Saccharomyces cerevisiae S288C: one gene and its partners. The protein of the gene in region 3 purifies or fractionates together with the protein of the main gene of each other region. This does not show direct contact. Each region holds a gene or a part of one and is shown on either strand. Other genes may lie near its edges.

The links.
Region 1: the proteins of NUG1 (region 3) and ERB1 purify together in Saccharomyces cerevisiae (affinity purification with mass spectrometry; 9 studies listed by BioGRID, with this or other methods). This does not show direct contact.
Region 2: the proteins of NUG1 (region 3) and NSA1 purify together in Saccharomyces cerevisiae (affinity purification with mass spectrometry; 5 studies listed by BioGRID). This does not show direct contact.
Region 4: the proteins of NUG1 (region 3) and NOC3 purify together in Saccharomyces cerevisiae (affinity purification with mass spectrometry; 8 studies listed by BioGRID, with this or other methods). This does not show direct contact.

The regions. Positions count from the first base shown.
Region 1 is NC_001145.3:367,594-373,841, reverse strand, and holds ERB1 (ribosome biogenesis protein ERB1), read left to right. Parts: upstream 1-3,324; coding exon 3,325-5,748; downstream 5,749-6,248. Other genes in the region: CSM3 (Csm3p), read right to left, coding at 5,908-6,248.
Region 2 is NC_001139.9:297,576-302,625, forward strand, and holds NSA1 (ribosome biosynthesis protein NSA1), read left to right. Parts: upstream 1-2,402; coding exon 2,403-3,794; downstream 3,795-5,050. Other genes in the region: SLD3 (Sld3p), read left to right, coding at 1-363; TATA-binding protein-associated factor TAF6, read right to left, coding at 603-2,153; CUE3 (Cue3p), read right to left, coding at 3,962-5,050. UniProt on the Saccharomyces cerevisiae protein: Involved in the biogenesis of the 60S ribosomal subunit.
Region 3 is NC_001137.3:160,547-165,560, forward strand, and holds NUG1 (RNA-binding GTPase NUG1), read left to right. Parts: upstream 1-2,176; coding exon 2,177-3,739; downstream 3,740-5,014. Other genes in the region: YND1 (apyrase), read left to right, coding at 4-1,896; PAC2 (Pac2p), read left to right, coding at 3,981-5,014. UniProt on the Saccharomyces cerevisiae protein: GTPase required for 60S ribosomal subunit export to the cytoplasm.
Region 4 is NC_001144.5:152,877-158,683, reverse strand, and holds NOC3 (Noc3p), read left to right. Parts: upstream 1-2,349; coding exon 2,350-4,341; downstream 4,342-5,807. Other genes in the region: THI73 (Thi73p), read left to right, coding at 1-750; CMS1 (Cms1p), read left to right, coding at 954-1,829; YLR001C (uncharacterized protein), read left to right, coding at 4,707-5,807. UniProt on the Saccharomyces cerevisiae protein: Required for synthesis of 60S ribosomal subunits and the transport of pre-ribosomes from the nucleoplasm to the cytoplasm. Also required for initiation of DNA replication.

The DNA of each region.
Region 1 (6,248 bases), on a different chromosome or scaffold from region 3:
AACTAAACGTACCTTTGAACCCAAAAGGAAGGAAACTTAGCGCTCCAGGTCAACCAGGTCTATATATAGACCAGCAAGAACTAGAGCTAGAAGAAGATGATTACAAAATGAAGGTACATGAAATGCAAAAGCTGATAGGTCTAGCATCATATGTTGGATATAAATTTAGATTTGACCTATTATACTACATCAACACACTTGCACAACATATACTATTTCCGTCCAAGCAAGTGTTAGATATGACATATGAATTGATACAGTTCATATGGAATACGAGAGATAAGCAATTAATATGGCACAAAAGCAAACCTGTTAAGCCAACAAATAAATTAGTTGTTATAAGCGATGCATCGTATGGTAACCAACCGTATTATAAATCACAAATTGGCAACATATATTTACTTAATGGAAAAGTAATTGGAGGAAAGTCCACCAAGGCTTCATTAACATGTACTTCAACTACGGAAGCAGAAATACACGCGATAAGTGAATCTGTCCCATTATTAAATAACCTCAGTCACCTTGTGCAAGAACTTAACAAGAAACCAATTACTAAAGGATTACTAACCGACAGTAAATCTACAATCAGTATAATTATATCCAATAATGAAGAGAAATTTAGAAACAGATTTTTTGGTACTAAAGCAATGAGACTAAGAGATGAAGTATCAGGAAATCATCTGCACGTATGCTATATCGAAACCAAAAAGAATATTGCAGACGTAATGACCAAACCTCTTCCGATAAAAACATTCAAACTATTAACAAACAAATGGATTCATTAGATCTATTACATTATGGGTGGTATGTTGGAATAAAAATCCACTATCGTCTATCAACTAATAGTTATATTATCAATATATTATCATATACGGTGTTAAGATGATGACATAAGTTATGAGAAGCTGTCATCGATGTTAGAGGAAGCTGAAACGCAAGGATTGATAATGTAATAGGATCAATGAATATAAACATATAAAACGGAATGAGGAATAATCGTAATATTAGTATGTAGAAATATAGATTCCATTTTGAGGATTCCTATATCCTCGAGGAGAACTTCTAGTATATTCTGTATACCTAATATTATAGCCTTTATCAACAATGGAATCCCAACAATTATCTAATTACCCACATATATCTCACCTTCTTACACTGTATATGATAATATATTAATATTAAACCAGTCAATAAATGTAATTGATTATTTCAACACGAAAACCTAACTATCAACGATATCACATAGAACAGCGAAGAGTTAGAAGATTTATTAGAAGATTTATTAGTATAGGTTATTTTAGATGCAATTTTTCAATAAAACCTGGTTTCGTGGTCTAGTCGGTTATGGCATCTGCTTAACACGCAGAACGTCCCCAGTTCGATCCTGGGCGAAATCATTTTTTTAGCACTTTAGCAGCATATTGCGGTATCGAATCATCTTCATGAATGGCGCAGATTTATTTGAACTGTTCAATCATAAATTAACCTTATGTGAATAGTCTGGGTAGGTTGAAACTTCGGAAATCACTTGCTTTTCTGAGGGCTGCGCGTAATCTAGATAGATCTACCTAAATGACACCGATGGCAACTTCAAGCTATACTAACTCCTAGACATTACTTTCTTCAGTATTCCCTTAGTGCCTGTTTTGAGCTATGAGATTGGTATTATTATTTGAAATATCTTCTATTGCGGTATCTGATTTTATATTTCTAGCTTTGTCATAAAATATAAAATACACAAATATATATATAGAGATAAGATAGATTATTTTTGATGACTTGCAAGTTGCACTAGGATTTGTTTTTCTTCTAAAAACCCCTTAAAGGTATTTCCAGAGAAAATATTATGCTGGTTATTCGATACTATTATCCAGTATACACTGACCTATGTTATAAGCAAAGGTTCTTCGTTCTGCCTCTTTAACAGGTGGAGTGCGTGCCATTATCATCAATGAAAGTTTAACATGTAATTGTCATCAGCTGTATACTGTTCGAATCTGTTCATTACGAAGGTTTAACTTCAAAAATCGAAAAGAAAAAAAATAGAAGATAAGAATATTGCATAGATCCTTCTTTTTTAGTGAAGTCACCGAATAATACATATAATGAAGTTAAAATTACAAACCGTGCAAAAACACCGCTGATTTAGAGTGGGCGATTTCATAGATCAAAAAGCAGGCTAAATATGAATTGAAAATTAAGTAGTCTACTATTTTCTGACAGCAGTGGCGCGCGACGGTTTCCAGGAAGTTTATTATTCAACGTGTCCAATTTTCACACGCTGCTTGACATCGTTATTCCCTGAACGCATTTTTACACTGTATGCGCAATTTGAGCCACTTTGATGGACTATTATGTATGAATAGCTTAGCTTAAAGAAGTAACAGTAGAGTGTTGAACCTTTAAGTGCTTGATGTACTCGAGCCTTTTTCTATGATACCTCACTCCAGAAAAAAGCGTTTAACATATCTGGCATTGAGGGTGGTCTCAAACAATAAAAGTATCCTATTTAATATTTTAACATTGCTGATAACCTAAAAAATCTGAACGTTGCCAGCATAAAACCTCAGCTTTATATCGTACTGAATAACATACTTACTGCAGGGCGAAATTTTTCTCAAATTGTGCCTAAATCGTTAAGTTACTAAACTTTTACGCGCAGTACTGGCATTGAGCGATCAATATTGTTTAATGCGTAGTGACGATCTTCTCCACTTATATTTTTTTATTCGTAGTTCTCTATTTTCGTTTCGATTTGTTTTCTCTGTCTACCAGATTAAAAGTGATTTGAAGTTTTTTATCATGAACTAAACAATAAAATTACAAAAAAAAAAAGTCAGCGTCACCAAGGATTGCTACCAATATACGACTTTACTGCTGTATTATCGAATTTTACCTTCTAGGATATTATGTAAAGTCTCTAGCAAAGGGAGAAAACTAATGTTACTAGGACTGAAGAACATTTTCCTCTTATAGTGTAAAATTGATTTTGACAAGAATATAATTAATACATTTTTTTTCTTTTGATAGCAGTATTGAGTACAATGAATTGAGCATTCAAGGTTCAACATGTGATAGTAGCTCTACCGCTAGTATGTTATTGCTAATTAAGTAGGATTGAATTGTCGCGATTTTGTCATTTTGGGTTTTAATAACTCTTGTACGGGTTACCCCATTTGTTTTTGAAGATTAGTGAAAAATTATTGAAAATTTTTTTTTTTTTGGTTTTGCGATGAGCTTATAATTTACATATGTGATATATTCGCATATAGATCCTAGCGAAGAAAGGTACTGTATTAAATCTGTTCTAACATAACTAGGTCAATGATGGCTAAGAACAACAAAACTACCGAGGCAAAGATGTCGAAAAAGAGAGCAGCTAGCGAAGAATCTGATGTCGAGGAAGATGAGGACAAGCTTTTATCCGTTGACGGTTTGATCGATGCGGAAGCAAGTGAGAGTGACGAGGATGATGACGAATACGAGTCTGCCGTTGAAGAAAAGGAATCATCTTCTGATAAAGAAGCCCAAGATGATTCTGATGATGACTCCGATGCTGAATTAAACAAACTGCTTGCCGAAGAAGAAGGTGATGGGGAAGAGGACTATGACAGTTCTGAGTTTTCAGACGACACAACTTCCTTAACAGACAGATTATCGGGTGTGAAATTGCAAACGATCGTTGATCCGAATATTTACTCAAAATATGCAGATGGCAGTGATAGAATTATCAAACCTGAAATTAATCCAGTTTATGATAGCGATGATAGTGATGCCGAAACGCAAAATACCATTGGTAATATTCCACTTTCTGCATACGATGAAATGCCACACATTGGATACGATATCAACGGTAAAAGGATTATGAGACCTGCCAAGGGTTCTGCTTTAGATCAACTGTTGGATTCTATCGAGCTACCTGAAGGCTGGACTGGTTTACTGGACAAGAATTCCGGTTCAAGTTTGAACTTAACCAAAGAGGAATTAGAACTTATTTCCAAAATCCAAAGGAACGAACAAACTGATGATAGCATAAATCCATACGAACCGTTAATCGATTGGTTCACGAGACACGAAGAAGTGATGCCATTAACTGCTGTTCCGGAGCCAAAAAGAAGATTTGTTCCATCCAAAAACGAAGCCAAGAGAGTTATGAAAATTGTAAGAGCTATCAGAGAGGGCCGTATTATTCCTCCTAAAAAATTAAAGGAAATGAAAGAAAAGGAAAAAATTGAAAACTATCAATACGATTTATGGGGTGATTCTACGGAAACAAATGATCATGTAATGCATCTAAGGGCACCAAAATTACCTCCACCAACTAATGAAGAGAGTTATAATCCACCAGAAGAGTATCTTTTGTCTCCTGAAGAAAAGGAGGCCTGGGAAAATACTGAATATAGTGAAAGAGAAAGAAACTTCATACCTCAAAAGTATTCTGCCTTAAGAAAGGTCCCTGGTTACGGTGAATCTATTAGGGAAAGATTTGAAAGATCTTTGGATTTATATTTAGCTCCTCGTGTCCGTAAAAACAAATTGAATATTGATCCTAATTCTCTAATTCCAGAACTTCCCTCTCCCAAGGATTTAAGACCCTTCCCTATTCGTTGCTCAACAATATACGCTGGTCACAAAGGAAAAGTACGCACATTATCCATTGATCCTTCTGGATTATGGCTAGCAACAGGATCTGATGACGGAACAGTCAGGGTATGGGAAATTTTAACTGGTAGAGAAGTTTATAGAACTACTTTAATCGATGACGAGGAAAACCCAGATTACCACATTGAATGCATTGAATGGAATCCTGATGCTAATAATGGTATTCTCGCCGTTGCTGTTGGTGAAAACATTCATTTAATAGTACCACCAATATTCGGCTACGATATTGAAAATAACGGCAAAACTAAGATTGAAGATGGTTTTGGCTACGATACTTTTGGGACTGTTAAAAAATCTAACCTAGAAGTGAACGAGAATGGTGATGGCGATGAAGATGGAGAGAATGAATCTGCTAAGAATGCTGTAAAAAAACAAGTAGCCCAATGGAACAAGCCTTCTCAAAAGCAACTAGAAAAGGATATTTGTATCACTATTTCTTGCAAAAAAACAGTAAAAAAGCTTTCATGGCATAGAAAAGGTGATTACTTTGTCACTGTTCAACCTGACTCTGGTAACACTTCTGTTTTGATTCACCAAGTTTCCAAGCATTTAACCCAATCCCCATTCAAAAAATCGAAGGGCATTATTATGGATGCGAAGTTCCATCCTTTTAAACCTCAATTATTTGTCTGTTCCCAAAGATATGTCAGAATTTATGATTTATCTCAACAAATATTGGTCAAGAAACTGTTGCCTGGTGCCCGTTGGTTATCGAAAATCGATATTCACCCAAGGGGTGATAATTTAATTGCGTCATCGTTTGACAAGAGAGTTTTATGGCACGACCTGGATTTGGCTAGCACACCTTACAAGACACTAAGATATCATGAAAAAGCCGTCAGAAGTGTGAATTTCCACAAAAAGTTACCTCTATTCAGCTCTGCCGCTGATGACGGTACCATACATGTTTTCCATGCCACTGTTTATGATGACATGATGAAAAATCCGATGATTGTGCCACTAAAGAAACTAACCGGTCATAAAGTAATCAATAGTCTGGGTGTTCTTGATGCTATTTGGCATCCGAGGGAAGCTTGGCTGTTTTCTGCCGGTGCTGATAATACGGCTCGCTTATGGACCACCTAGATAAATAATTTGAAGTAGATATTGTATAATAACGCCCAAGAAGAAAAAATCAAACACTCGAACCAGGCTCTTTCTACAAGCTTTATTTACACAATATATATAAACCTATATGTATAGATGCCCACACGCACGTTTGGATTATTACCTTCAATGACATTGCTAAAAGCCCATTTCCTTCATAGCATCCAACTCATCTTGATCTACGCCAAACTCATCTCCCCCTGGCAATAAATCATAATGAGTATGTTGTCCCTCTATATCATTCATTTCCCACTCTTCCAAACTTTGAATCAGTTGAACGTCTTCTTCAGTCATAGAGCCTTTTTCCATTTTTCTATGCGCATCTAGCCATCCTAATAAGAGCTTCTTCTCATTTTCTTCAAGGCCAACGGGCCCTTGTACCCTGAATGTCTTCAATAATGCATCCAAATCTTCCTTAGGCGGCACAACGTTGTTAAGTACCGTTTCATTATTCCCACGTTCGTCCAAAACTCGTCCTC
Region 2 (5,050 bases), on a different chromosome or scaffold from region 3:
ATCACACTCAAAACGCCTTTCTCGCACTCAACTATTAATGCATACAAAACTATGAATAACTCTTTTCGCAGAGTTGGGAAACGTAAAGATATCAATGAAACGATACGCCTACATGAACGTGTAGACTCTGAGGAAAACGTACAAGTTCAAGCCACTCCTGCTGTGAAAAAAAGAACTGTGACACCTAATAAAAAGGCGCAACTTCAAAGCATCATTGAATCGCCGCTAAATTTCAAGGATGATGATACGCATGAAGGCAGAAAAAATACCTCCAATATTACCTCTACTCCCACTAATAAGCCCCCGGAAAATAGCTCAAAAAGGAGAGTAAGAAGACGTTTATTTGCTCCAGAATCCACATAGAATAAGAAACTGCGAGACCACCTTCGCTGGCAAGTAGTTGACCCAACTCCATCTTTGTAGCTTTTCTTGGACGAAAAGGGAATAAAATAAAACTAAGCTACAACAATTTCGCACTTCGGGGGCCTTTGAGTATACAATTAAATAACTCATCATGCATATATATATATATACATACAATGGCGTATGTAAAAACTGTTATATAACATTACCGTTGTACTATTAGTATAAACCGATTCTCACTATTCGCCAAAAAATATCGCACTAATTAATTCTTTTGCGTCGTCTCTTTTCAAAATGTGAAATCCAATAGTGACACCACACCTCTCTAGCAATTTTTCCTTATCCTCATCCGTAACTTTTTCACCTTTACCCTCGTACAAATCTGGTAAATCCTTTTTTAGAACTAACAATGCACTAATTACAGTATCAACCAAGATTTGAGTTTCTTCTTTAGTAAATTTGGTCCTAGTTGGATTGGAGTCATCGTTCAAATGTTCCTCTATATTGTCTAGAGTTATTCCGCTTTCATTGAATACCAAGCGCGCCCAATTATTTAGGTTTCCTAAGAAGAATCTGATGGATTCACCTTCTAGTACCGATACACCCTTTAAGCACCCATAGTAAGTCCCAAAAACACGGTTTATGTCCAAAAATGTCTTTAGCAGTGTCCTAGTTACTCTTGGCTTCAGGGATTTGTATGCTTGAGGAAATTTTTTCAATACATAGTCCAACAAAGATGCGGCAAAATCACGTAGTGCATTCGTTCTTTCTAAAAATTCATGAATTTCTTGCGGCGAATCATCTTTTGGTGATCCACCAAGTTTTTTTGCTAATAGCAAGGTTAAAATGGAAGGCATTAACGAATGAATATAAGGGTCCAGGAAAATAGAAGTATTGCTTAGTAAAGAGTAAATCATTTCCAAAATTGTTGTTAGCAATTGTAAATCGGAAAGATTTTGTGTGATTTGTTCGGCAATAAATTGAATAAAATATGGAACCAGTTGGTGCAGGCCACTATCAGTTCGTAGTGAAGTCAAAGCTGCTTGTTTCATATGCTGTGCAGCTTCATCAGCTTGACTCTTCGCTGTCAAGGTTGAAATGACCTTATTGAAATAAATCTGTAATTCTTTGGATAAAACGTGTTTCACTAAAGGTTTGACTTCAGTATTCTGTCCTGGTTTAACATTAGACAGGTGTTGAGAGGCGCCTGTATCCGTCACAGAAGCACTTGCTGTCGTCGACGTTACAGGTGTTTGGAGGCTGTTATCATTCAAAGCAGTGACAATAGCACCTCTAATAAATGGTGGTTGGGATACCCTTATATCATTCAAATTTGGATTTTGGATTATGGCAGGTTGAACCCCTTCAACTGCTAGCCAATGTGTAGTAAAAGTTGGTAGACGAGGCACTTGCGGTAATGGCTCATTTATTAATCTATCAAAATCTACTTCTTCCTCATCCAGGTAGTAAACCGACTGTCCTCCACTTGTGTTAACCTTACTAAATGATACAGCTTTATTAACTTCAGAGCCATCATAATATCCATATAAAGGTTCCACATTCAGAACACGCAGGGCCTTCGATACATCGTCTGTAGTTAAAACATCTCTTTTAGAGTGTCTTTTAAACTTGACTGCCTGTTCAATAATCTCTAGAATACGGTATTCAACGTCCATAGCAAGTGCTTTCAACACGTCATCGTTGATATTTTCCAACCCAAGCGACTCAGCGACATCTTTAACAGTATCTTGTGGAGACCAAATTGTGTAAGATTGCTGCTGTGTAGACATTTTAACAGGCTATCAACTACACTGAGGCGTCCTTTGCTTCCTTTTTAAAGCCAATCTATTGTTTTCGCTCATGAACTACTTTTGCTGCTACTTGAATCGGTGTTTGTTATTGATGGTTTCCGGGTATTTTTTTGGTAATAAAATAAAGCTGAAAAATTTTGTAAAGCGATGCCCAATCTCGAAGCCTCACTTCAATGAACATAATACAGAGAAAATTTAACCATAAATAGGCCCAGCTTCGATCGTAAAATGAGGTTACTAGTCAGCTGTGTGGATAGTGGATCCATAAAGGAAGTTTTGTGTAACATCGGGACTGACACTTCCGTACAATCAGCACTGCAGCCTTTTCATGTGGCACCTCATCTAGCCGAAGGATTGAAAGCTTACGTTGACAGGATGTGGGTGATATCCGAAGATGAAGCCATCTTAGCAAGGAATTCAGGGGTCGTCGAACTTGTAAAGATTTCGAAACACCTTAAAGAAAATGAAGCTCTCCAGGTCGATCCCAAAGGAGAAAGCAAAAATGAAAAGAGCCTTTCCGATGATCTACCCAAATTTGACATATCCGAGTTTGAGATAACCAGCTCAGTTTCAGACCTTTTTGATGATGCCAAATTGGAATCACTTTCAAGTAAATCTGTTAAAAGAACCAAGTTGGTGGATGGTTTTGTCACATTATGTCCCATAAAAAAGGATTCGTCGAATAACACATTCGTAGCTGCTACCAAATCGGGATTATTACATATTATAAAAAAAGGAGAAGATAAAAAGTTAATAAAACTAGCATCCCTTGGACTGAAAGCACCAGTAGAATTTCTTCAGTTATATGATCTAGAAGATACCGATACTGATAAATATATATTTGCATACGGAGGGGAGGAGAATTTAATAAAATTAGTGGAAATAGATTCGAGTTTCCAATCTTTAAAGCAAATTTGGGAAGCCAAGAATGTTAAAAACGACAGGTTGGATATGAGAGTCCCAGTATGGCCCATGGCCCTAAGATTTTTGGAGCCCTCCCCTGGTAAAACTGAAAAGGGTAAGCTGAACTACCAGTTTGCAGCCATAACCCGTTGGTCCCACCTCACCAAATACAGCACACAACATGGCAGAAAACCGTTCGCTCAGATAGATTTATTACCTAACCGTGAACCATTATCTCAGATGGAAGTTTTTGATGCCAAGGGAGAAAATGTTGTCTCTTCGTTGGGGAATTTTCAATCTGAAACCTTTAATGAACTGAATGTGATTACTACTGACTACAAAAAGAATGTTTTTAAATTCGATGGTAATGGAAGAATGTTGGGCAAGGTGGGTAGAGATGATATCACTGGTTCGTCAACCTATATTCATGTACATGACGGCAAATATCTTTTACAAGGTGGTTTAGATAGGTATGTTCGGATCTTCGATATAAAAACTAACAAAATGCTGGTGAAGGTTTATGTTGGGTCCCGTATAAATTTTATTGTTATGCTGGATGACGTTGAAATCGAGATGCCACTAAGTCCAAGTGCGAAAGCTGCCAAAGGGAAGCAAAAAAGGAAGGTTACAGAACTTGAAGAAGACGCAGATGAGCTTTGGAATAAATTGGAGGGAAAGGTAGCTGCTTCTAAAGCCAGTAAGAAAAGCAAAATTTAATAGTAAAGGACGCTAATTGAAGGCAAAGTTTTACTAGTCGGCGGGAAAAATTATTAAAAAAAGCACTTCCTGAACGCGACGCTGAATAACTTATAATACGTTACATAATTGTATACCGTCTAGTAAACTTACATACGCTTGTCTATCTTGTATGCTGATGCATTTTATCAAATAGCGTTATTTCCCGCACGAGCCAATTTTTTATCGTGCCCCTTCTTACGGTTATGGTTAGCTCTAGCCCCTTTCCTTTTTTCATTCTTAGCATGCTGTCTTTTCTTCTGTTCAGTAGATTGAGGTTCATGTTTCTTAATATTTTCAGATTTTTTTTGTTTGGCTTGTTCTTTGACGACATTTCCATCATTTTGGCTATCACGATTATGAACATAAGACGTTTTCCCTGTTTTGCTATTTCCTTTGAACATAAACTTCTTTTCTAAAAGTCTTGCTCGGGTAGGAGATCTTTCTAACATCCGACACCAACCTTCGATTTTTTCATCCGACCATGAAGTCATTTCTTTCATAGTTTTCCTGACTTTTGTACCTCTTTTTGATCTCTCAAATAATTTCGGATCCTCTTTCAATAGATTCCACAAGTAAGCTTCAACAATATGATAGTTATGATCTTGTCGCACTTCATTAGAATCATCTTTTGTATCATAGCTTTCTTCGTCTTCTTGAAGTCCAATTCTTTTCGAAGGATCGGACCGGTTCACATCGGCTTCATCATAAGTGTCATCCCTTTCATCTTCATCAGCCTCGTATAAAAGTTTCAATGCTCTTGTCAAAGTTTTATTTCTTAATTCATCCGGAACACCCTCCGAGATAATCTTTTTGTCTAGCTCTTTATTTTTTGAGCTATCTCCTCTATCCAATATACTCAGTTCTTCAGTAAAGGATGCATTATCACCATCTGACACCGGCTCTACTTCTTCCTCCGCAGGTTCTCTGGAGAATGCTTCGATAATGGTAGGATCCTCAAATATTTTATTCGTTACTAATTCAATGTTATTATCATAGGCAAGCAACGTTTGAGATAATTGATATTTAGAAAACTGGGGGAACAATTCCATCAACGCGGACAGTTGTTCTTCATTAACTTCAGTACCTGATGATGTTGGATAGCTCATATGGTCTCCTTCGTCCATTGACAACCCCCCTAAATTCAGAAATAGTAACTTGCTCTTCAAATCAGGAAGCCTTTTGTGGACTCCTTCATTTATGAGCATTGTTCCTAAAAGAGGATATAACGCCAAAGT
Region 3 (5,014 bases):
CTTATGCTCATAGAAAACACTAATGATCGGTTTGGTATCGTCATAGATGCAGGGTCTTCGGGTTCGAGAATCCATGTGTTTAAGTGGCAGGACACGGAATCGCTTCTTCATGCAACAAACCAGGACTCACAGTCCATATTACAATCAGTACCTCATATTCATCAAGAAAAAGACTGGACTTTTAAGCTGAATCCAGGCTTGTCGAGTTTTGAAAAAAAACCTCAAGATGCGTACAAATCTCACATCAAGCCGTTACTAGATTTTGCTAAGAATATTATCCCTGAATCACATTGGTCGAGTTGTCCCGTTTTTATTCAAGCAACCGCGGGCATGCGCCTTTTACCTCAAGACATACAATCTTCCATTTTGGATGGTTTGTGTCAGGGGCTCAAACACCCTGCAGAATTTTTGGTTGAGGATTGCTCAGCACAAATTCAAGTCATTGATGGTGAAACCGAAGGTTTATATGGCTGGCTTGGCTTAAACTATCTATATGGACACTTTAATGACTATAATCCAGAGGTCTCTGACCATTTTACATTTGGGTTTATGGACATGGGCGGTGCCTCTACTCAGATTGCGTTTGCACCGCATGATTCAGGAGAAATAGCTAGACATAGAGATGACATCGCCACCATCTTCTTGAGGAGTGTTAACGGAGATTTGCAGAAATGGGACGTTTTTGTTAGTACGTGGTTAGGGTTTGGTGCCAATCAGGCTAGAAGAAGGTACTTGGCTCAGTTGATCAATACCCTTCCAGAAAACACAAATGATTACGAAAATGATGACTTCTCTACAAGGAACTTGAATGATCCATGTATGCCGCGAGGAAGCAGCACGGATTTTGAATTTAAAGATACCATATTTCACATCGCGGGTTCTGGGAATTACGAACAATGTACAAAATCTATTTATCCGTTACTTTTAAAGAACATGCCTTGTGATGACGAGCCGTGCTTGTTTAATGGTGTTCATGCTCCTCGAATAGACTTTGCCAATGACAAATTTATAGGTACTTCTGAGTACTGGTACACTGCCAACGACGTATTCAAACTTGGGGGCGAATACAACTTTGACAAATTTAGCAAAAGCCTAAGGGAGTTTTGCAATTCCAATTGGACGCAAATATTAGCGAACAGTGATAAAGGCGTGTATAATTCTATTCCGGAGAATTTTTTGAAAGATGCATGCTTTAAGGGCAATTGGGTCCTTAATATACTTCATGAAGGGTTTGATATGCCTCGAATAGATGTCGACGCAGAAAATGTCAATGACAGGCCCTTATTTCAAAGTGTGGAAAAAGTCGAAGAACGAGAGTTATCGTGGACACTAGGCAGAATTTTACTTTATGCCTCAGGTAGCATATTGGCAGGTAATGATGACTTCATGGTGGGTATTGCGCCCAGTGAAAGAAGAACTAAGCTCACTGGTAAGAAATTCATACCTGGCAAGTTACTGGAGTCTGATCAACTACGCAAGCAAAGTTCCAGCCTTTCTAATAAAGGATTTTTGATGTGGTTCGCAATTATTTGTTGCATATTTTACTTGATCTTTCATAGGTCACACATAATCAGAAGACGTTTTTCCGGTCTGTACAACATTACCAAGGACTTTAAGACAGGCATAAGGAGAAGGTTGAAATTTCTAAGGAGATCAGATCCATTTTCCAGATTGGAGGAAGGTGAACTTGGAACAGACGTAGATGGCTTCAAAGATGTGTACAGGATGAAGAGTAGCAGTATGTTTGATCTTGGTAAGAGTTCAGCCACAATGCAAAGGGAGCACGAACCACAAAGGACAGCAAGTCAGTCCGCTAATCTCGCTCCGTCAAACTTACGACCTGCGTTTTCTATGGCTGATTTTTCCAAATTTAAGGACAGTAGGCTATATGATTGAATGTGGTGGTGTATGTGCCATAAATAGAAGCGCATATACTTCTCACATAAATATATGTATATATCTAGTGAGGTGCCATAGTATTGCATTAACAGTGATTCACGTCACTCTAAACGTCGCTTCTGTTTTTTTTTTGAAATTTTTTTCTCACAGCTGCTGAAAATTTTCGAGCGAGGCGATGAGATGAGCTAATTATATCAAGAGGGAATTGTACTAGTAATACTTTGGTACACACAAGAACAAGCATATAGGTATACAGTCACGACTATAATATCATAAAATGAGAGTCAGAAAGCGCCAATCTAGAAGAACATCTACCAAGTTGAAGGAAGGTATTAAGAAGAAGGCTTCTGCCCATAGAAAAAAGGAAAAGAAGATGGCTAAGAAGGACGTTACTTGGAGATCAAGGTCTAAGAAAGACCCTGGTATTCCTTCTAACTTTCCTTATAAGGCTAAGATCTTAGAAGAAATAGAAGCCAAAAAAATGAAGGACTTAGAGGAAAGAGAGCTTGCCAAACAACAACGATTGGAGGCTAGGAAAGCTGCCAAGGAACAAGGCGTTGATGCAATGGATGAAGACATGATAGAAGACGATGAAAATGGATTAGCAGCTTTGGTTGAGTCTGCTCAGCAAGCAGCTGCTGAATATGAGGGCACACCCTCTAATGATGCAGATGTTCGTGATGATGAATTGGACGTCATTGATTATAACATTGATTTCTACGGTGAAGATGTAGAAGGCGAGTCAGAACTTGAAAAATCTAGGAAAGCTTATGACAAGATTTTCAAATCCGTTATTGATGCTTCTGATGTCATCCTATATGTTTTGGATGCCAGAGATCCAGAGAGTACAAGATCAAGAAAGGTGGAAGAAGCCGTCTTACAAAGTCAGGGTAAAAGGCTGATTTTAATACTGAACAAAGTTGATTTAATTCCCCCACATGTATTGGAACAATGGTTAAATTACTTAAAGTCTAGTTTTCCTACAATCCCATTAAGAGCTTCTTCTGGTGCAGTCAACGGAACTTCTTTCAACAGAAAGCTAAGCCAAACCACTACTGCAAGTGCACTGCTAGAGTCGCTGAAAACTTACTCTAATAACAGCAATTTGAAGAGATCTATTGTAGTGGGTGTTATCGGTTATCCAAATGTTGGTAAATCATCTGTTATCAACGCTCTTTTGGCGCGCCGTGGAGGTCAATCAAAGGCTTGCCCAGTCGGTAATGAAGCAGGTGTTACTACCTCTCTGAGAGAGATCAAAATCGACAACAAGTTGAAGATTCTAGATTCTCCTGGTATATGTTTCCCAAGCGAAAATAAGAAAAGATCGAAAGTTGAACATGAAGCTGAATTAGCTCTTCTAAATGCTCTACCGGCAAAACACATTGTTGATCCGTATCCAGCTGTCTTAATGTTGGTAAAGAGACTAGCTAAATCAGATGAAATGACAGAGAGCTTTAAAAAGCTGTATGAAATTCCTCCTATTCCTGCTAATGATGCAGATACGTTTACAAAACATTTCTTAATTCACGTCGCTCGTAAAAGAGGTAGATTAGGGAAAGGCGGTATTCCAAATCTTGCCAGTGCTGGTCTTTCGGTACTTAATGACTGGAGGGATGGTAAAATTCTTGGTTGGGTTTTACCAAATACATCGGCAGCTGCATCTCAACAAGATAAACAAAATCTAAGTACTATAAACACTGGCACTAAACAAGCTCCAATTGCAGCAAATGAATCCACCATTGTATCCGAGTGGTCCAAAGAATTTGATTTGGATGGATTATTTAGCTCTCTTGACAAGGCCATAGATGCTAGCAAAGATCAAGATACAATGATGGAATAAATAAGTCATATGTAAGGCTATTTTTATGTAAGGGGTGTTTCTTATTTTTTCTTTATCATCAAATAACATTACTGTAAATTATAGGTGTGCTTTTAAACTCATTACTATACATCTTATTTTTTTTAGTTTTACTGCCTTTTTGCTCTTTGGACAAAGAAATCATTAAAAAGTTCCAACTTTTATTATGTTTCATATATAAGATATACAAAATATAAAATGCAAAACGAATTTCAGAGATAGCATGACTTATGAAATTGGGGACAGACTCAAGATTGGTGGATATTTTTGCACCATCAAATTCATAGGTGTTATTAAGCCGTGGCCTTCGGTAAAAGCTTATGGGGTGGAATGGGACGATCACAGCCGGGGAAAACATTCTGGAACAATAGATGACATACACTATTTTGACGTTCAAATTCCTAATTCAGGATCATTTTTGAAGGAGTCTAAGATTAAATCTCCAGGTGTACGCAGAATTACGTTTTACGAAGCATTGTCAGAAAAGTATGGAGGCTCGAGTAATAACATTAATGACCTATCTATAGGTAACAAAAGGGTTGAGGGTTTGGGATTCGATGAACTAAATGCGAGAAATAAGAATTATAAGAAGTTAAGAAAAATAGCTTTGCGAGATTCCGATGTCGCTATATTGTTTCAAAATCAAGATGAGTTAAACCGTGTAATACAAAATTGTGTGAACGTCAAGGACCTTGATTTATCGCTTAATCTATTCACGAATATCAACTCTTTATGTGAGTTCATAGAACCTTTGAAGAACTTGGAGAGCCTTAATATATCTCAAAATAAACTTTTAAGCGGTTGGGACAACTTGAAAGAATATGACCTATCACACATCAAAACTTTACGTCTGTCTTCCTGTGGTTTAAGTTATAAACATATTGGTAAGCTGCTCAAAAGCTTCAGGACACTGAAAATGTTGGATTTAAGCTATAACAACTTGACCAGTGCGGGAATCCAAAATTTTGAGAATGAAATACCGTGTACTTTGGAGGAACTGAATATTAGCGGAAATAATCTTATATCGTTTCCATTGTTTCCAAAAAATTTGACATTGAAAGGTTTAAATGTCTCCAATAATCAAATTTCTAGAGCACCAAGTATTGCTATTTATTCTGTTGAATCCTTGGATATAACAGATAACAAATTTAAGGAAAGAAGTTTGATAGATGATTTGAATAAGACATTTCCCTCTTTGAAAAATATCCATCTGAGTGGCAACGAATTCAACTACAACGGAAATTATATTAACGTCGA
Region 4 (5,807 bases), on a different chromosome or scaffold from region 3:
AAAATTCAAGTTGTTGAGCATATCAGAGCTAACCAAACTGGCCTGGAAACAAAGAAGTTTAAGAAGCAGCAAGTTAAAGAACTATTCCTTCATGATAAGTTTACTTGGCCGATGCTTTTATTAACTGCATGTTCTCAAATTTCTACTGGTGCCATTGGTACATTTTCAGTGACCATCACTGGTACTTTTGGTTTCGACAAGTACGAAACAGCATTACTGCAGTTGCCTATTGGTGCCATTACGGCTATGATTATTCTTATAACAACTCAAATGTTGTCCCGCTGGGGTCATATCACACTCATAACCACATCTATGTATATTCCAGCTATTATAGGTTGTATCGTTCTTATCAGTTTACCCTTATCCCATAAGATCGGTAACTTATTTTCTCTGTACTTGCTTTACAGTGGTTCCTGTGTCATTACCAATATTTACATCTGGAATTCATGCAACACCTCCGGTTACACCAAAAGAGTTTTTAGAAATGCTATTACAATGATTGTATACAATGTCTCCTGTATTATTGCTCCACAGATGTTTAGGGCATACTCTGCTCCACGTTACATACCAGCAAAGATTGCCTTATTGGTCACTCAGTGTGTTTGTGTTCCCCTACAATTATACATTGGCTACATTTGCAAGAAGGAGAACGAAAAGCGTGATAAGGAACAAGAAGGTCAAGAAAGGAAGAAGTACCAATTTTTGGACTTGACTGATATCGAAAACAGAAATTTCAGGTACATTTACTAATAATCAACTTTTAATTTACAATATATAATATTTTTAGTCTGTAATATTCAATATTCAAAGACACCCAAACATTCATTGCACTTGGTATTTACCAAAAAATTGAAGAGAAAATTTTTGAGATGACCATGGATGAGGCAATGAAAGTCGAAATTTGATCCCCGCTACTAACTTCTAAACATATCGTCAGGACAATTGAGCTGAAAATGTCTAATCCAGATGATTTAGATGATGGACTCGCCTATGATTTTGATGCCGAACATGAAGTAATTTTTGACGCCAAGGATGGTAGTCCCCCAACCAAAAAGGTACAAAAGAGGTCTATAGAACAAGATGACGATGACGTTGATGATATAGATGGGAAAAAAGAGGAGAGAAATTCAGAAGATGATTCGAATAGACCTATTTCGAAAAGACAGAAAAAGCTACAGAAAAAATCAAAGCTAATTGAGAAAAAGAAAGAGGAAAGCCAGTATATCGTCTCACAACGAAAAGCACTTCCAGCAAGTTCACCAGAAAAAATTATTGAGTACCTAACAACTTTGATACGAGAAAAAAATCCTGACTTGAGTGTTTTAGAATTAGAGGAACTTTACTTCAAAAGAAATGATTTTCTTTCGACAGAAAAATTTGACGCTGAACGCAGATTAAGCAATTTCCCAGCCTTTATTCAAAAATTTTCCGTAGCTCCAAAAAAAATTGTTTTTTCTATGTCTAATATTAGAGTAGCAGACGTTTATCGTAGTCTAAACGGTGGCAAAAATTGCGTCAAATTATTCTCTAAAAGTAAACTAAAGGATGACATAGCCACCGTGGAACGTTTACTTACTGACAGCTCTAAAAAATCAAACAAAAATAAAGATTCACTATATTTTATTGCCACTCCAACAAGAATGCAGAAAATTATAGAAGCTACTGACTTACTTTTCCAAGGTAAGGAAAAGTTAGATATCATTCTTGATGCAAGTTATTTAGATCCTAAGGATAATACTATATTATCATTCGAGAATGCAGCCGTCCTCTGCCAAGTCTTGAAAACCTTTTTGAATAAAAAAAGCTCCGTGAAAATACTGTTATATTAATAATAGCGCTTTTTCACTGAGGTTCTACACATAAGATTACGTTTTTAAATACCAGCCTTAATTTAGTATATTAAATATTTCATTCTAGCATTTGATGGGGTACTTCAAATTATCTTCTTTAAATTGTCCAAAGCCCTTCCAAAAAGTAAAATCAAAGGAGAAACTTCGAGAACGCCTAGGCGCGCAGCAAACTCCATATATAACAATGTATTTTTTCTTTAACTACATAAAACCAATTTATCCTATTTTACTCTTTCCATGGAGTGTATGCTTTTTTGTAGTTACTTAGATTCAGAAATTCAATGTCTTCCCTCATTTTCTTCACCGTAGAGTAGACCATGGGACGTCGTTTTACTTTAGTTTTTGAATTTTTTCAGCGATGCCCGAAAACTGAAAATTTTATCTCATCTCATTCACCTGCCTGCCATATATAGTATTTTCATGGTATAAACTTGGCATTTTATGTCTTCAATCATAAGAGTATAATTCCGGGATAAAAGCTGGAGATATCATAGTAATAATGGCTAAGAGAAATAGATCTCAATTTCGCATTCAGGAAAGGACTGCAAAGAAAAGAAAGCACGAAGATTCCTTGTTAGAAGGCAATGTTTTCCAAAATGCACCGGAAGATATGGATGAAAATACCATATATAGCGCAAAAGGCTCATCCTGGGATGAAGAAGAACAGGATTACGAAATGGTTCCTCGGAAGAATCGGTCTGATACATCAAATCTTGTTGAAGGCCTGCCTATAAAAGTTAACGGTAAAGTTGAAAGAAAATTGCATAAAGCCCAAGAAAAACCAAAGGACGATGATGAGGAAGACGAAGACTCTAATGACTCTTCAGAAGATGATGAGGGACCTAATGAAGAACAAGAAGCAGAGGCAAAGGAGGATGAGCCTGATACGGAGGAAAAAATTCTGCAACTAAAAGAAGACATTGCCGATTTAGTCACTAAAGTTATGGAGGAGCCTGAAGAAAATACTGCTGCGTTGGGGCGTCTATGTAAAATGGTGGAATCTAAAAATCCTAATACTTGTAAGTTTTCCATGTTGGCTTTGGTCCCCGTGTTTAAGAGTATCATACCAGGCTATAGAATTCGACCACTAACTGAAACTGAAAAGAAGGAAAAAGTTTCTAAAGAAGTCTCCAAGCTTAGAAACTTTGAGCAAGCCTTAGTTTATAACTACAAAAATTACGTCGGAAGATTACAGAGTCTTTCAAAAACTCCCAGTAATGCTGCTCCTATACAGGTTTCATTAGGGATTTTGGCCACTCAAGCCGCAAAAGAATTGATTTCAACGGCATCCCATTTCAACTTTAGAACAGACATTTTCACTTTACTGTTGCGTAGAATTTGTAAACCAAGAATTTCAACAGATCCAACTTCCATTCAAATAATCCAGACATTTGAAACTCTATTAAATGAGGACGAAGAGGGCTCAATATCATTCGAGATACTAAGAATTTTCAACAAAATACTAAAGACGAGGAACTTCAACATCGAAGAATCTGTTTTAAATATGTTATTATCGTTAGATGTCTTACATGACTATGACCCTAATACTAAATTGAAAGGTAACGTTAGCGCTCCTAAGCTCAAAAAGAAAGATAGGGTCCATCTTTCTAAGAAGCAAAGAAAAGCTCGAAAAGAGATGCAACAAATTGAGGAAGAAATGCGTAACGCTGAGCAAGCTGTTTCTGCGGAGGAAAGAGAAAGAAACCAATCCGAAATTCTAAAAATCGTTTTCACTATATATTTGAATATCTTGAAAAACAATGCAAAAACACTCATTGGATCGGTTTTGGAAGGTCTAACGAAGTTTGGTAATATGGCCAACTTTGATCTATTAGGGGACTTCCTCGAAGTAATGAAAGAACTTATTAGTGACACTGAATTCGATAACCTTTCCTCTGCTGAGGTCCGTAAGGCTTTGCTTTGTATCGTTAGTGCATTCTCACTTATTTCAAATACACAATATATGAAAGTTAATGTGGATTTGTCCAAATTCGTCGATGGGCTTTACGCGCTATTACCTTATATCTGTCTTGATGCAGACATCGAATTATCTTATAGATCGCTAAGGTTGGCTGACCCACTCAATAACGAAATAATAAAACCATCAGTTAACGTTTCTACCAAAGCAGAACTTCTGCTAAAGGCTCTGGACCATGTATTTTTCCGCTCTAAATCAGGGACTAAAGAAAGGGCTACGGCGTTTACCAAAAGATTGTACATGTGCATCAGCCATACCCCAGAAAAAACAAGTATTGCCATTCTTAAATTTATTGATAAATTAATGAATAGATATCCAGAAATTTCAGGCCTTTACTCTTCCGAGGATAGAATAGGCAACGGTCATTTCATAATGGAAGCCGATAATCCTTCAAGGAGTAACCCAGAGGCAGCAACCTTATGGGATAATGCTCTTCTTGAAAAGCATTATTGTCCTGTAGTTACAAAGGGGCTACGCTCTCTATCATCTAGATCTAAAGAGTGTTCTAAATAGCTAGATCCTATATATTAAGTATATAAAGAGCCACGATTATCGTTAGCCAATCATTTTTGCCGTGTCGAGTAGAATTGTATAAATATTAGCATTGTATGAAATTTGAATGAATTACCGCAAAAGTATTATACGTAAGCAATAGAAACAAATATCAGATTCAAGTTCACCAAATCAATATTAACAGCTTACTATATTGTCTTTTTTTATGGAAGAACATTACCGTGAAAACCCGGTAGGAGAATTTTGTTCGGTCGGACTTCCCCATTAGGCGTATATTAAGGGCCTAGAAAATAAGACAAAACGGCTTCTTATCTAAGCTGCTGTGAGTGACAGCATGTATTAACTGAATCAAACGGAGCCCTTTGATGAACATGGCAATCCAAACAATTAAATACATTTTTTGGCTACTGCCGATATTAGGGCTTACACAAGCACTTCTACAAAACCCAGGGGACGATTTTCCATTTAGCACAGTAATAGATATCCTCTCAGAAAATGTTGAATTCTCAACTTTTTTAAGGATTATTCAGAAAACTGGTCACGTACAGTACTTAAATGAGCTACAGAACTTTACACTTTTTGCTCCGATTAATTCAGCATTTATTAAGGGGGACCAAACCACAGACCAATTTGAGGAGCATTTCCATATTGAAGATTTCCTTATTCATGATAGGGTATTGCAAGTGAGAGACCTTGAAAACGGTACCTACCTGGAGAAAAGAGCTGCAAAAGCACCTTTATTGCTGAGAAAGCATGAGCGCCATTGCTTTGTCAATGAAATTGCTGTTGTCGAACCCGATTTGCTGCCTAGTTTCCAGAATGCTTCATTACAAGGTATTAACAATCTTTTACTAATTCAACCTCAAATAAATGAGTTGCTGGTACAACTAGATGAAGAAACCCAAGATTTAAAGATATTTAGTGATTTTATCAGCAGTTTTTCAAACTATAATGCATATACAAACTCATCCACAGTTTTAGTGCCCTTAGATGTTAATTTTCGAAAATTCTTCAATACAATCGAAATAAACTATCTACTTGACAAATATAATAAATTGGGTAAATCTAATACAATTTCTCAGGCCAAATGGGCCGCAGATAGAACTTCCCTTCTTCAAGAACTCATTATTGATGACGTGTATGGTGGTATTTTACCCAAGGAACTAATTTTAGAAAATAAAAACAATCGAAAACTTTTTATGAAGAGTAATTCAGAAGGTACATCAGTAAGTGTAAATAATTCAGATTACTCACCCATATCAAACAGAATTTTTGAAATAGGCGTCGTGCATGGATTTTCTGACTTAGACTTTTTACGAACGCATATACAGTTTGATGCTGAAAAGTACTTGCACGGTTTGAACTGCTCAGAATTCGTAAAGGAGTTATACTTCAGAGACCTTGAAAAATTCATTCAAAACGGAAGGAAAATCACCATATTTGTACCACAAGCCTCTTTTAATGAG